2 linked regions of the Anolis sagrei genome follow. The protein of the gene in region 1 binds, or shares a complex with, the protein of each later gene. Links are inferred from orthologs where the notes say so. Each region holds a gene or a part of one and is shown in the gene's direction. Other genes may lie near its edges.

Region 1 (7,093 bases):
GTACTTTTAATATGAAATATAAAATTATTCTATTGTATTATTATTAGTATTATATTATATTATATTACATTATATTTTCAATATTATATGTGTTTACACTATATTATTAGCACAGAAGAATATTAGTATTAATATGATTATGCCAATGCACAAAAATTATAGATCTATTTTATAATCTATATTTATATATAATTTAATATAATAATATATATTATTAGATAATAATATTTATATTTATATATAACTTAATATAATAATATATATATTATTATATATTATATTATTATATAATAATATACGCAATAATAATAAAATAAAAATAATTTATAATTCATAAGTTCCTTCCTTTTCCTTCCTTTTTCTTTCCTTCCCCTCTTTTTTCCTGCCAATGACGTCATTGAAAGTTGCCAGCCAATCAGAGCACAGGCACGAGGACCGCCACTTCGCCCGCGAGATTATGCTATTTGAGGCAAGCGCTACAGAAGGGGCGGGACTACATGGAAGACAGACAGCGGGGGCGAGCCAATCAAGCGGGGCCCTTCCAACTCCCTCGCTTTGCCACCCCCTCCCTTGTCTTTCTCTTAGAAATAAAGGGGAGGAGCCAACAATCCCCGCGCGCTGGGTAGAGAGGGGGGAAAAAAGCAAAACGGACAGGCCGTTCAGCCAATGATAGATCTGTATTAGAAAGGGGCGGGTTTTACAATCCTGGCGCGCTCAGTGGAGAAGGGAGTGACAGCATACAGTTAATGAAGAGGCGGGAAAAAGAGTAAGACGGGCAGGTCAGCCAGCCAATGATAAACCGGTATTAAAAATGGGCGGGGTTTACAACCTCGGCGCGCTCGGCGGAGAGGAGGGTTTAATAGAGAGGCGGGAAAAGACGGGCAGGCCAGTCAGCCAATAATAGACCTGTAGAAAAAAGAGGGGCGGGGTTTACAATCTTCGCGATCAATGGAGAGGGGTGTGAAAGCAACCAAGACGGGCAGGCCGATCAACCAATAGAAAAAAAGAGGGGCGGGGTTAACAATTTGAGCGCGCTCGGTGGAGAAGGGCGTCAAAGCATACAATTAATAGGGAGGCGGGTCAAAGAGCAAGATGGACCGGCCAGCCAGCCAATGATAGACAGCTAGAAAAAAGGGGCGGGGTTTACAATCTAGGCGCGCTCGGTGGAGAAGGGCGCGAAAGCATAGAATGAATAGAGAGGCGGGTAAAAAAGGAAGACGGGCAGGGCGGCCAGCCAATGATAGACCGCTAGAAAAAAAGGGGCGTGGTTAATAATTAGCGCGCTCGTTGGAGAGGCGGGTAAAAGAGCAAGACGGGCAGGCCGGCCAGCCAATGATAGAACGCTAGAAAAAAGAGAGGCGGGGTTAACAATGTTAGGGATTAATAGAGAGGGGAGGGAATGCATCCAAGACGGACAGGCAAGCCAGCCAATGATAGACCGCTAGAGAAAGAGAGGCGGGGTTAACAATGTTAGGGATTAATACAGAGGGGAGTGAAAGCATCCCAGACAGGCAAACCCGCTAGAGAAAGAGAGGCAGGGTAAACAATGTTAGATAGTAATAGAGAGGGGAGTGAAAGATAGAACAAGCCCTATGAGGAGCGGCTTAAGGAGCTGGGCATCTTTAGCCTGAAGAAGAGAAGGCTGAGAGGAGATATGATAGCCATGTATGAATATGTGAGAGGAAGCCACAGGGAGGAAGGAGCAAGCTTGTTTTCTGCTTCCTTGGAGACTAGGACGCAATGGAACAATGCCTTCAAACTACAAGAAAGGAGATTCCATCTGAGCATGAGGAAGAACTCTCTGACTGTGAGAACTGTTCAGCAGTGGAACTCTCTGCCCCGGAGTGTGGTGGAGGCTCCTTCTTTGGAAGCTCTTAAACAGAGGCTGGATGGCCATCTGTCGGGGGTTTATTTTTTATTTCTCGTGTCAGGGCAGCCAGTCAATTATATTACATTTCTAACAGAACAAAGCAAACAAACAGAGAAAATACAAAATGTGTGAGTTTGGTAGTTGATTAAATGTCCTTTGACCAGTATCTGGCCACTTGGAGTGCCTCTGGTGTTGCTGCAAGAAGGTCCTCCATTGAGCATGTGGCTGGGCTCAGGTTGCACTGCAGCAGGTGGTCAGTGGTTTGCTCCTCTCCACACTCGCATGTCGTGGACTCCACTTTGTGGCCCCATTTCTGAAGGTTGGCTCTGCATCTCGTGGTGCCAGAGCGCAGTCTGTTCAGCACCTTCCAAGTCGCCCGGTCCTCTGTGTGCCCAGGGAGGAGTTTCTCATTTGGTATCAGCCATTGGTTGAGATTCTGGGTTTGAGCCTGCCACTTTTGGACTCTCGCTTGCTGAGGTGTTCCAGCGAGTGTCTCTGTAGATCTTAGAAAACTATGTCTGGATTTAAGCCGTTGGCGTGCTGGCTGATACCCAAACAGGGGATGAGCTGGAGATGTCTCGGGGTTAACAATGTTAGGGATTAATAGAGAGGGGAGTGACAGATCCAAGACGGGCAGGCCGGCCAGCCAATGATAGACCGCTAGAGAAAGAGAGGCGGGGTTAACAATGTTAGATATTACTAGAGAGGGGAGGGAAAGCATCCAAGACGGGCAGGCCAGCCAGCCAATGAGAGACTGCTAAAGAAAGAGAGGCGGGGTTAACAATGTTAGGGATTAATAGAGAGGGGAGTGAAAGATCTAAGACGGGCAGGCCAGCCAGCCAATGATAGAACACTAGAAAGAGAGAGGCGGGGTTAACAATGTTAGGGATTAATAGAGAGGGAAAGCATCCAAGACGAGCAGGGGCGGGGTTAACAATGTTAGGGATTAATAGAGAGGGGAGTGACAGATCCAAGACGGGCAGGCAGGCCAACCAATGATAGAACGTTAGAAAGAGAGAGGCGGGGTTTACAATGTTGGGGATTAATACAGAGGGGAGGGAAAGTATCCAAGACGGGCGTGAAAGGGATAAGACAGGCAAGCCAGCCAGCCAATGATAGAACACTAGAAAGAGAGAGGCGGGGTTAACAATGTTAAGGATGAATACAGAGGGGAGGGAAAGCATCCAAGACAGGCAAGCCAGCCAGCCAATGATAGAACACTAGGAAGAGAGAGGCGGGGTTAACAATGTTAAGGATGAATACAGAGGGGAGGGAAAGCATCAAAGACAGGCAAGCCAGCCAGCCAATGATAGAACGTTAGAAAGAGAGAGGCGGGGTTAACTATGTTAGGGATTAATACAGAGGGGAGTGAAAGATATAAGACGGGCAGACCAGCCAGCCAATGCTAGAACGTTAGAAAGAGAGAGGCGGGGTTAACTATGGTGGGGATTAATATAGAGGGGAGGGAAAGCATCAAAGACGAGCAGGGAGAGGGGAGTGACAGATCTAAGACGGGCAGGCCGGCCAGCCAATGATAGAACACTAGAAAGAGAGAGGCGGGGCTAACAATGTTGGGGAGTAATAGAGAGGGGAGTGAAAGATCCAAGACGGGCAGGCCAGCCACCCAATGCTAGAACGTTAGAAAGAGAGAGGCGGGGTTAACAATGTTAGGCATTAGTAGAGAGGGGAGGGAAACCATCCAAGACGGGCAGGCCAGCCAGCCAATGATAGAACGCTAGAAAGAGAGAGGCGGGGTTAACAATGTTAGGGATTAATATAGAGGGGAGAGGGGAGAGAGGAGGGAAAGCATCCAAGACGAGCAGGGAGAGGGGAGTGACAGATCTAAGACGGGCAGGCCTTCCAGCCAATAATAGAACGTTAGAAAGAGAGAGGCGGGGTTAACTATGTTGGGGATTAGTAGAGAGGGGAGGGAAAGATCCAAGACGGGCAGACCAGCCAGCCAATGATAGAACGTTAGAAAGAGAGAGGCGGGGTTAACAATGCTGGGGATTAATATAGAGGGGAAGGAACGCATCCAAGACGGGCAGACCAGCCAGCCAATGAGAAGACGCTATCGGAGGCGGGCGGGAGGGAGTGAGGGAAGGAAGACGGGCGTGCGGGCCGTCCAATGGCGAGCGGCGTCTGTGCCTGGCCCTCCCCTTGTCCCGTCATCGGCGCGGGCAGCCAATGGGGCGGCGGGGCGGTTTCCGGGGGGGCGGGGCCGGCCTGCCTCGCTCGCTCCGCCGAGGCGCCATGGGCTGAAAACTAAACCGAGATGGAATCTCCCAGTCTGAACCGGTTTGAGCCGGTTCCGAGTCTGTGGCAGTAGAAGAGGAGGAGGGGGAGGGCTGAGGGGAAAAGAGCGGAAGGCGAAGCACGAAGCCACGGGGGAAGAAGAAGGAGAAGGAGGAAAAGAGAAGGAGGGAGAGAGTGGATGAGAGGAGGGAGTGAGTGAGGAGAAGAAGGAGGCGTGTGTGTGTGTGAGAGAGAGAAGCAAGATTGGCAGGAGGAGGAAGAGGGAGAGGAGAAGGGGGGTTCACCACAACAACAAGGCCAGGTGTGTGTGTTGTGTGTTGTTTACCACAACAACAACAAGGCCAGGTGTGTGTTGTGTTTGTATCTATCTCCCTGTGAGGGGAACAGCAGGCGCCATGGAGGAGGACTGAGGGGAGGAAGGTGTGTATGTGTGTCTGTGTGTGAGAGAGAGGGGTGTGTTGGTGGAAAGAGTTTGTGCTGGTTGGGGGTGGGATTCCTATTTTACACTCTTGTTCTTCCTCCTCTTCTTCTCCCCTCTGAAAGGGGGAAAATACACACACACACTCACACACAAAAAGAGGAAAAAATTGAGGTGAGCAGATCTCTTTCTGGGAGTTGTGTGTTGTTTCTTTTTCTGGGGCGGGTTTTTCTCCCTCTTTTCCTCACAAACCTCAACCTCCTCCTCCTCGTTGAGGGGAGTACTGGGGTGTGTTTGCACAGGCCTCTCTGAGGAAGAGGTTGGGCTTCAGGGGTCAGCGTGGCTTCTGCTTTCTGGAGGGAAACAGATATCTATTGGAAAGAAAGAGAGAGGCAGAAAAGTCAGCTTTCTGGAGAAATATCTATCCTTCAGTGTGTTTTTGCAAAGAGCTTTTTGAAAATATAGATATCAGAGAGGCAGAAAAGTCAGCTTTCTAGAGAAATATCTATACTTCAGTGTGTTTTTGCAAAAGGTTTTCTGAAAATATAAGTATATTAGAGAGAGAAGCAGAAAAGTCAGCTTTCTGGAGAAATATATATCATTCAGTGTGTTTTTGCAAAGAGCTTTCTGAAAATATAAGCATCTATTAGAGAGAGAAGCAGAAAAGTCAGCTTTCTGGAGAAATATATATTCTTCAGTGTGTTTTTGCAAAAGACTTTCTGAAAATATGAGTATCTATTAGAGAGAAGGAGAAAAGTCAGCTTTCTGGAGAACTATCTATCCTTCAGTGTGTTTTTGCAAAGAGTTTTCTGAAAATATAAGTATCTTATTAGAGAGAGAAGGAGAAAAGTCAGCTTTCTGAAGAAATATATATCTAAATATCTATCTATAGATATCCTTCAGTGTGTTTTTGCAAAAAGCTTTCTGAAAATAGAAGTATCTATTAGAGAGAGAAGCAGAAAAGTCAGCTTTCTGAAGAAATATATATATATATATATATATATATATATATCCTTCAGTGTGTTTTTGCAAAGAGTTTTCTGAAAATATAAGTATCTGTTAGGCAGAAAAGTCAGCTTTCTGGAGAAATACATACCCTTCTGTGTGTTTTTGCAAAAGTCTTTCTGAAAATATAACTATAAGAGTAGCAGAAAAATCAGCTTTCTGAAAATATATCTATATATCCTTCAGTGTGTTTTTTGCAGAGCTTTCTAAAGATATATATATATATATATATATCATATAGATAGATCCTTCAGTGTGTATGTGTTTGCTATAGGCCCCAAGCCTTTCCCCAAGCATTTCAACCATAGAGTTGTTGGCAAGGAAGTCAGCTCTCTGAAGAAATATAGATCTATATATCCTTCAGTGTGTTTTTGCTAAAGACCCATTTTCCCCCCAAAGCTGACTTTCAACTTTCAGCATTGCTTTGAGATACTAGTAAGGTTGTTGGCAGATTTCTGAAGAATATAGCTATCTATAGATCTATCCTTCAGTGTGTTTTTGCAAAGAGTTTTCTGAAGAAATAGATATTAGAGAGGCAGGGAAGTCAGCTTTCTGAAGTAATACCTATATATCTATGTGTATGTATGTATATGTAGATTGATATCCTTCAGTGTGTATGTTTGCTAAAGGCCCCAGACCTTTCCCCAAGGTTGGCTTTCAACTTCCAGTATTTTAACCATAGAGTTGTTGGCAGGGAAGTCAGCTTCCTGAAGAAATATCTATCTATATATCCTCCAGTGTGCATTTTTGCTGTAGGCCCCAAACCTTTCCCCAAGGTTGGCTTTCAACTTCATTGCTTTGGAAAGAAAGGCTAGTAGGGTTGTTGGCAGGGAAGTCAGCTTTCTGAAGAAATATATATCTGTATAGCTCTATATATCTGTATTCTTCAGTGTGTGTGTTTGCAAAAGGCCCCAAACATTTCCCCAGGGTTGGCTTTCAACTTCCAGCATTGCTTTGGAAAGAGAGGCTAAGATATTGTGGATTGATTTTTTAAAATATAGTTATATATACACATAGATTGGGGTGTGTGAGAGAGAAGGAAAAAAGAGGTGTAGCAGGAACATCCTTTCTGCACTTTTTTTCATAAAGAGCGGGAGAGTGAAAACGGGTGGAGACTTTGCTTTTTCCTCCCTTTGAGATCTAACTCTACATAGGCCTCAAACACACCCCAATTTTTCTGCCTGTGTTTTATTTGGGGAAAATAAGGGTGTTACATCTGTTTGAATGAATGGCAAAGGCCTGGCCCAAGTTGTAGGTGTGTTTGCAACTTTGCTAGGAAAGTGACTTGACTTCCATGTGCATTTTTTCTCTCCAGTTTGTGTGAGTCGCCCTATTATTATTTTACTCCATCTTTTTTCTCTTCTTTTTTTTTTTGGTAGGTTTGGCTCGTTGTTTGTTTGAGAGAAACAGAGAAGTGTGTATGTGACAATTTAATTATTTTTTGAATGAAAAAAAGGAACCAGACTTCTGGGCCTCACGTGAAATCAGAAGGAGACACCTCTCTTTTGTGTCGGGTGTGAGGTTGTGTGTTGGGAAGCTGAGGC
Region 2 (7,456 bases), on another chromosome or scaffold:
GCATACAGCCTCTACGCTCATCAGATGGAACCAAACTCCTGAAGAACCAAAACTCAATTGCACTACGTTGGAAAGAACACTACCAAAGCCTCCTGAACCGCAGCTCCAATGTGGCCGAAGAGGTCCTCTCACAAATCCCACAACAACAAACCAGGGATGAGCTTGCAGCACTGCCCAGTTTGGAAGAAGTCAACAATGCTATCAGCCAACAGAAGAATAACAAAGCCAGTGGACCAGATGGGATCCCTGCTGAAATCTTTAAAGAGGGAGGACCTGAGCTGACACACCAACTCAACCAGCTCATAGAAAAAGTGTGGGTGACCGAGAAAATCCCAGCAGACTTCAAGGATGCCACCATCATCACCCTCTTCAAAAAAGGGGAAAGAACAGACTGCGGAAACTATCGAGGTATCTCCCTTCTAACCTCTGCTGGGAAAATCCTCGCAAGAATCCTTGCAAACCGCCTTCTGCCCCTCTCAGAAGACACCCTCCCAGAATCCCAGAACGGCTTCCGCCCCTCCAGAGGAACCGTGGACATGATCTTCACTGCACGACAGCTCCAAGAAAAATGCAGGGAACAAAACCAACCTCTGTACATGGCATTCATCGACCTTGCAAAGGCATTCGACACAGTGAATCGCAGCGCTCTCTGGACCATCCTCCAAAAAATCGGGTGCCCAAGCAAATTTGTGAACATCCTGCGGCTCCTCCATGATGACATGATGGCAACAGTCTTGGACAGCAGTGGCTCCCAAAGTGACCCATTTAAAGTGGAATCCGGTGTCAAACAGGGATGTGTTATTGCCCCAACTCTATTCTCCATCTTCATCGCTATGATACTTCACCTTGTTGATGGGAAGCTTCCCACCGGAGTGGAAATCATCTATCGGACAGATGGCAAGCTATTCAACCTCAGCAGACTGAAAGCCAAAACCAAGGTTACAACAACATCTGTTATAGAACTCCAGTATGCTGATGACAATGTCGTCTGTGCGCATTCAGAAGAAGATCTACAAGCCACTCTAAACACCTTTGCAGAAGCATACGAGAAGCTCGGCCTGTCATTGAACATTGAGAAAACCAAGGTGCTGTTCCAGCAGTCACCAGCCAATCCCTCTCCAATGCCAGCGATACAGCTTAATGGTGTAACATTAGAAAATGTTGATCATTTCCGCTACCTTGGCAGCCACCTCTCCACCAAAGTCAACATCGACGCCGAAATACAACACCGCCTGAGCTCTGCAAGTGCAGCATTTTCCAGAATGAAGCAGAGAGTGTTTGAGGACCGGGACATCCGTAGGGATACCAAGGTGCTTGTTTATAAAGCTATTGTCCTCCCAACCCTGCTCTATGCCTGTGAGACGTGGACTGTCTACAGACGTCACATGCAGCTCCTGGAACGTTTCCATCAGCGCTGCCTCCGGAAAATCCTGCAAATCTCCTGGGAAGACAAGCGGACAAACGTCAGTGTGCTGGAAGAAGCAAAGACCACCAGCATTGAAGCGATGGTCCTCCAACATCAACTCCGCTGGGCCGGCCACGTTGTCCAGATGCCTGACCACCGTCTCCCAAAGCAGTTGCTCTACTCCGAACTTAAGAACGGAAAACGGAACGTTGGTGGACAGGAAAAGAGATTTAAAGATGGGCTCAAAGCCAACCTTAAAAACTCTGGCATAGACACTGAGAACTGGGAAGCCCTGGTCCTTGAGCGCTCCAGCTGGAGGACAGCTGTGACCAGCAGTGCTGCAGAATTTGAGGAGGCACGAGTGGAGGGTGAAAGAGAGAAACGTGCCAGGAGGAAAGCACGTCAAGCCAACCCCGACCGGGACCGCCTTCCACCTGGAAACCAATGCCCTCACTGCGGAAGAAGATGCAGAGCAAGAATAGGGCTCCACAGCCACATACGGACCCACAAGGAAATCCATAATGGAAGACCATCTTACTCGTCCAACGAGGGATCGCCTAAGTAAAGTAAGTAAGTAAGTGTTCCATGGCTAACAATATGTCTGCAACTTTTCACTCACTGACATTTTCAAATATTCCTCAAAGGCAGTTACACATAGAAAATATTACAGTAATCGGAATGGGTAAAGTGTGGCCAGATCCAACAGTGTGTACCTGTGGCCAGATCCAACATCTCTAGGAATGGTTGCAGGTGTACAGAAATTTTAATTTCTGCCAAATTTTTGCTACTGCCAAAACCTGAGCTTCTAGATTCAGGGTTGAGTCCAGGAGTGCACTCAGACTTCAGGCTTGTGTCTTAAACAGATATTGTGTAACCCTATCCAGAATACGCTGAACCCATATTCTTTTACTGAATGGGAACACCTCTGCCATGTCTAGATGAGAATTCAAGTTTGCTTGCTCTCATCCAATCTATTACTGACAACAGGCAAAATATTAGGACTGAAAGGGCTTCCTGCTTTGTGAAAAGGAGAAATATGGTTAAGTATCACGTGCATACTGATGACACCAGGCCCCAAAACCCCCAATGACATCTCCAAGCAGTATTGGAGGGCAGATCCAAACCATGAGGAACCTCAGATCAGCAACCAAGGGGTCAAAAAGAAAGGTCTCACTACTACTTTATGGATTTGTCACCTTACTGGAAAAATAAACCTGCTGTAAAACAGCACTTCCAAGTCTCATCCCTGAAATATATCTGCTGAAAGCTGCTAAAATGTCCAGCAGAGCCAACAGGGATACACTCCACCTGTCTAGTTCCTGGCATAGGCCATCAGTCAAGACAACCCAAGCCATCTCTGACTCACACCCAGGCTTGAAATAAGATTGAAATAGAACTAGATAACTCATCTAATGTGTAAATAATTGTAGCTGGGAAATAACTGTGTTATTGTAAATACTGGTGTTATTAACAACTCTGCCTTGTTTTAGAGAGGTATCAACAACTCCCTGTGCCCACTCCACCAGAAAGGACAAATATCTAACACACCTATAGTGGCTCTCATTCCTCCATGAATCCTGTTCATATCCTTAGGTTGCAAAAACTGAAAAGAATTCCATTGTCACTGGGTAAGCAGGGGCTAGAGTTACCTCCACTGGATTTATATCATTTATAATTCCCAAACAATTTTGTCTGTAAAGTGTCAAGCAAGTTGTTCACAGTGGGCTTACATATACAGTAATAGATTCCTGGTCACTTGAAAGAGCTCCACTGGTTGATTTTGGTTAGGTGTAATAGTGGCAAATATTATTAAAGTCTCCCCCCCCCCCCCCCCCGGTGTATTGCTTCACAGTAGGTCTGCAAAACATTCTAGCCTGAAGCGTCAGACTGGTATAATGGTTTGAGTGTTGGACTACAGTTTTGGAGATCAGGGTTCAAATCCCTGCTCAGCCATGAAACCCAGTAGGTGACCTTGGGCATGCCATTCTTTCAGCCTTCAAGACAAACTTTTTTTTTCCATGTCAGGAGTGACTTGAGAAACTGCAGGTCACTTCTGGTGTGAGAGAATTGGCCGTCTGCAAGGATGTTGCCCAGGGGACGCCCGGATGTTTTACCATCCTGTAGGAGGCTTCTCTCATGACCCCACATAGGAAGCTGGAGCTGACAGATGGGAGCTCACCCTGCTCACTGGATTCAAACCCGCCAACCTTTTGGTCAGGAGTCCTGCCGGCACAAAGGTTTAACTAAGTGTTGGACTACACATGGGAAGCTGGAGCTGACAGATGGAAGCTCATCCTGCTCACTGGATTCAAACCCGCCGACCTTTTGGTCAGGAGTCCTGCGGGCACAAAGGTTTAACTAAGGCTTCCCACCAAAATGGAACTGTAGAGGAGAGTCTACTGAACAAGTCAGTACCTGCTGCGCACAGTACTGCCATCTAGTGAGGAGTTCCGAAGGTGGAGGCATAACTTTTAATTCAACCCTCGTATGTATAGCAGGCGTGGGCAAACTTGGACCCTCCAGTGTTTTGTATTTCAACTCCCACCAATTCTAATAGACGCAGGCCCCTTCCTTAAGCAGCTGAGGGGGGAAAGGAAGGGGCCTGAGGCTGTTAGGAATGGTGGGAGTTGTAGTCCAAAACACCTGGAGGGCCCAAATTTGCTCATGTCTGAGGTATAGCATTGAAGCCTGGTCTAGAAATGCAGCGGAATGCGGTAGAGCTGCCTGTAAGTGTTGGATGCTAACTAGCTCCCCAAGCCCACATGCTCTAATAGCTAAACCCTCTGGGAATGGAAACCAGCAGTGTACGAAGTCCCCACGCTGCCCCCTCCCCTCTCCCTGGAGTGTGTGTGCGTTGTGTCCCCCTCCTCTCCCCTCTCCCTGGTTCCAGGCCCCGCTCTCTCGGGTGGGAGAAAAATAGGAGGGGCGAAGGCTCTTTGCGCGTCACAATCTGATCGCCTCTCGCGGCCAATCGGCTGCTTCCCCTTTAAAAAATCGAAGTGGAAGCTGAAGGCTCCCCCCTCCCTCCCTCCCTCCCTCCCTCCCTTTCCAAATACACGTTCCATCAGGTCGGGCTTAACGGGCAGGGGGGGCCGAGGGCACTCCAAGGAAAGACCCTCCGCGGCTCCAAAGCCGGCGCAAAAGGAGGTAGGGAGGCTCACATCTTTATTGGGGGGGGGGGGGCATTCCCAGTATGGTTTCTTCATGCTTTCCCAGAGACGGGAAGATGTAACGTGACACCTGGCGGGGGGGGGGGGGGGCTAGCCAGGGCGGGAAAAGCACAGCCCTAGTCCTGGAATTCAGCCTTGGAGGAGGAAGGGGGGCATTAAAGACTTGCTTCATTGCCCTCTCGTGAAGCCTTTCCCTCTCCTCATTGCGTGGGAGCCAAATGCAGTGATCCACGGGTGGGAGGAGGGAGGGGAGGACTGAGGAGGAGGAGGAGGAGCGGGATGACTTCAGTGGAGCGCGGTGGGTTTGGGCTCAGCGGCTGCAGCTGGATGCTGGGGAAAGGGCAAGCAGAGCAGTGTAAAACCGCAGCCGGAGGAAGAGGAGGAGGAAAAGGAGGGTTGCATTCTCTGAAGCCCATTTTCCCCCTTCGTTTTGGGGAAACGAACGCAACGCCGTGACCCTCCCCTCGAGGAAGGTGAGTGGGCTTTGCAAAGACGGCCGAAGCCGAAGGAAGGCAGGGACCCCGTCTACATTGCCATGCAGTGCAGTTTGAAGCACTCTCAGTGCTGGCTCCTATAATGCGGTTCAAACTGGCCATATTCCAAGATGGATTATAATGGCAGCGGAGCCAGATGGGCGCCAGGGAAGGCTGGATGTGGGAGCGCGGGCCCGCAACACGTGTCAAGCCCGCGGGGGCGCGAGCACGTCGGAATGGTTCCCTCGCGGGCGGGGAGAGGAGGGAGGGAAAGGAAGGAAGGAAGGAGCGGAGAAAGGAAGGCTGCGGTTGGCCGCTTCCCTTCTGGGTGGGAAGCCAAGCTGGGAGAGAGGGAGAAGGGGGGGGGGTGCCCAGCTGTCGCCCTTTCCCTCCCGCCTCCCTTCCCCGTTGGCTCTTGTCAGGGACAGCAGGAGGTCGCCAAAGCCTTGCTCTCCGAGGAGCAACGCACCCCTGGCTCTGCGGATGCTTTCTCCTCCTCCCCTTCTCTGCCCGACGTGGGTCTGCCCCCCTCCTCCTCCTCCTCCTCCTCCTCCTCCTCCTCCTGCTCTGGGGGACAGCGCTTGTTTGCTCTGCTGCCTAAAAATAGCCCAAAGTCTGCAGAGAGGGAGGGAAGAAGTGGGCTGCGGGTCTCCTTCTTTGCTTGCCTGCCTTGAGAGGGGAGGGAGCTGCCGATCTGGCCTCAAGGCACACTGACCCTGGCTCTTTTTCCTCCCCTTTTTCTAGCCAACCCAAAGCCCTGAGTGGGTTTCCATGGTGCTCCTGTGGGATGGCATCCAAGGCAGGAGCCAGCTGCAGCCAAAAGGACTAAAGGGTGGCGGTGCTTAAAAGATGGCACCTGGGACTGCTCCACTTCAGTTCACTTGAAGGTAGGCAAACCAGGGTCAGGCTTGAGCCTTGGACTCTGGAGATGAGTATGGGAAGCCATTGGGTGACCTTGTCCAAGTCGCACAGGCTTAGCCTCAGAAAACCCAGTGAGAGGTTCTCCTGTCTGAGGGACAACAGTAACCAAGGAATGGGCTAATTCTAGCATGGGCAAGGTTGGGCCCTCCAGGTGTTTTGGACTTCAACTCCCACCATTCCTAACAGCCTCAGGCCCCTTCCTTCCCCCTTAAGTGGCAGAGGGGGGAAATGAAGGGGCCTAAGGCTTTTAGGAATTGTGGGAGTTGAAGTCTAAAACACCTGGAGGGCCCAAGCTTGCCCACACCTGCTATACATATATACTACCAGCTGTTAGGAATTGTGGGAGTTGATGTCCAAAACACTTGGAGGACCCAAGCTTGCCCACAGCAGCTATACATATACTACTGGTTGTTAGGAATTGTGGGAGTTGATGTCCTAAACACCTGGGAGGGCTCAAGCTTGCCCACACCTGCTATATATCTATACTACCAGCTGTTAGGAATTGTGGGAGATGATGTCCAAAACACCTGGAGGGCTCAAGCTTACCCACACCTGCTATACATATATACTACCGGCTGTTACAAATTTTGGGGGTTGAAGCCCAAAATACCTGGAGATCTCAAGTTTGCCCATCCGTGGGCTAAAGGTTATATCAGGTTCCTCAAAATCCTGTGAAAGGTTTGCCTTAGGTACATCAATATCCAAACTGTGAGCTATGACAGGCACAAGTCATAGAATCCTAGAGTTGGAAGCGCCCACATAGGCTATCCAATCCAACCCACTGCCATGCAGGTCAAGGGGCATGGGAGGGGGTGGCCTTGGCTACCTTTGTCCCTTGACTACATAGAATCCTAGAGTCGGAAGAGACCTTGTGGGCCATCCAGTCCAACCCCCTGCCAGGAAGCAGGAAATTCACATTCAAAGAACCCCTGACAGATGGCCATTCAGCCTCTGCTTAAAAGCCTCCAAAGAAAGAGCCCCCACCACACTCTGGGAAGAGAGTGCCACTGCTGAACAGGTTTCACAGTTAGGAAGTTCTTCCTAATGTTCAGGTGGAATCTCCTTTCCTGTAGTTTGAAGCCATTGTTCCGTGTCCTAGTCTCCAGGGCAGCAGAAAACCAGTGGACTTCCCTCACTTTCCCTCCATCCTTTTCTGTTTCCAGTCTGAAAGTTCCTATTAATGACACTGTATTTTCACTACACCCCCTCCAAAAGGACAGCATACTTGCCTTTGCTTCCTACATAATACATGATAGTTGAAAAATGTCATAGCAGCTGTGCCAGTCATGTGGAAGTTCATGGTGGATATGGATGCTAGAAGCTGTTTGAGGAATGCATTCCAGAACTTGGATCTGAGACTTGTGTCGCAGTTGGATAGTTTTAGACTCTGGACCTAATGAGAGTGGGTTGTTGTTGCTTTTTGGGGTGGGTGTGGGGCAGTCTTTGGGTGGTAATATCTATTTCTTGAAAATGTGATAAACATTCTG

What was found.
Region 2: the proteins of XPO1 (region 1) and PKIA are in contact, whole or in part, in an NMR structure (PDB 2L1L), measured with the Homo sapiens proteins. The link is inferred for Anolis sagrei from reciprocal best matches to the Homo sapiens genes XPO1 and PKIA. Residues at the interface, in NP_003391.1 of Homo sapiens: Val518, Lys522, Leu525, Cys528, Glu529, Lys534, Lys537, Ala538, Ala541, Ile544, Phe554, His558, Lys560, Phe561, Thr564, Lys568, Phe572, Glu575, Thr576, Val580; in NP_006814.1 of Homo sapiens: Asn36, Leu38, Ala39, Lys41, Leu42, Ala43, Gly44, Leu45, Asp46, Ile47, Asn48, Glu51.

The regions. Positions count from the first base shown.
Region 1 is NC_090021.1:12,220,015-12,227,107, forward strand, and holds the start of XPO1 (exportin-1), read left to right. Parts: upstream 1-4,075; 5' UTR 4,076-4,718; intron 4,719-6,928; exon of another isoform or gene 6,929-7,093. UniProt on the Homo sapiens protein: Mediates the nuclear export of cellular proteins (cargos) bearing a leucine-rich nuclear export signal (NES) and of RNAs.
Region 2 is NC_090024.1:40,119,783-40,127,238, reverse strand, and holds the start of PKIA (cAMP-dependent protein kinase inhibitor alpha), read left to right. Parts: upstream 1-4,437; 5' UTR 4,438-4,552; intron 4,553-4,829; exon of another isoform or gene 4,830-5,048; intron 5,049-5,792; exon of another isoform or gene 5,793-5,935; intron 5,936-7,456. UniProt on the Homo sapiens protein: Extremely potent competitive inhibitor of cAMP-dependent protein kinase activity, this protein interacts with the catalytic subunit of the enzyme after the cAMP-induced dissociation of its regulatory chains.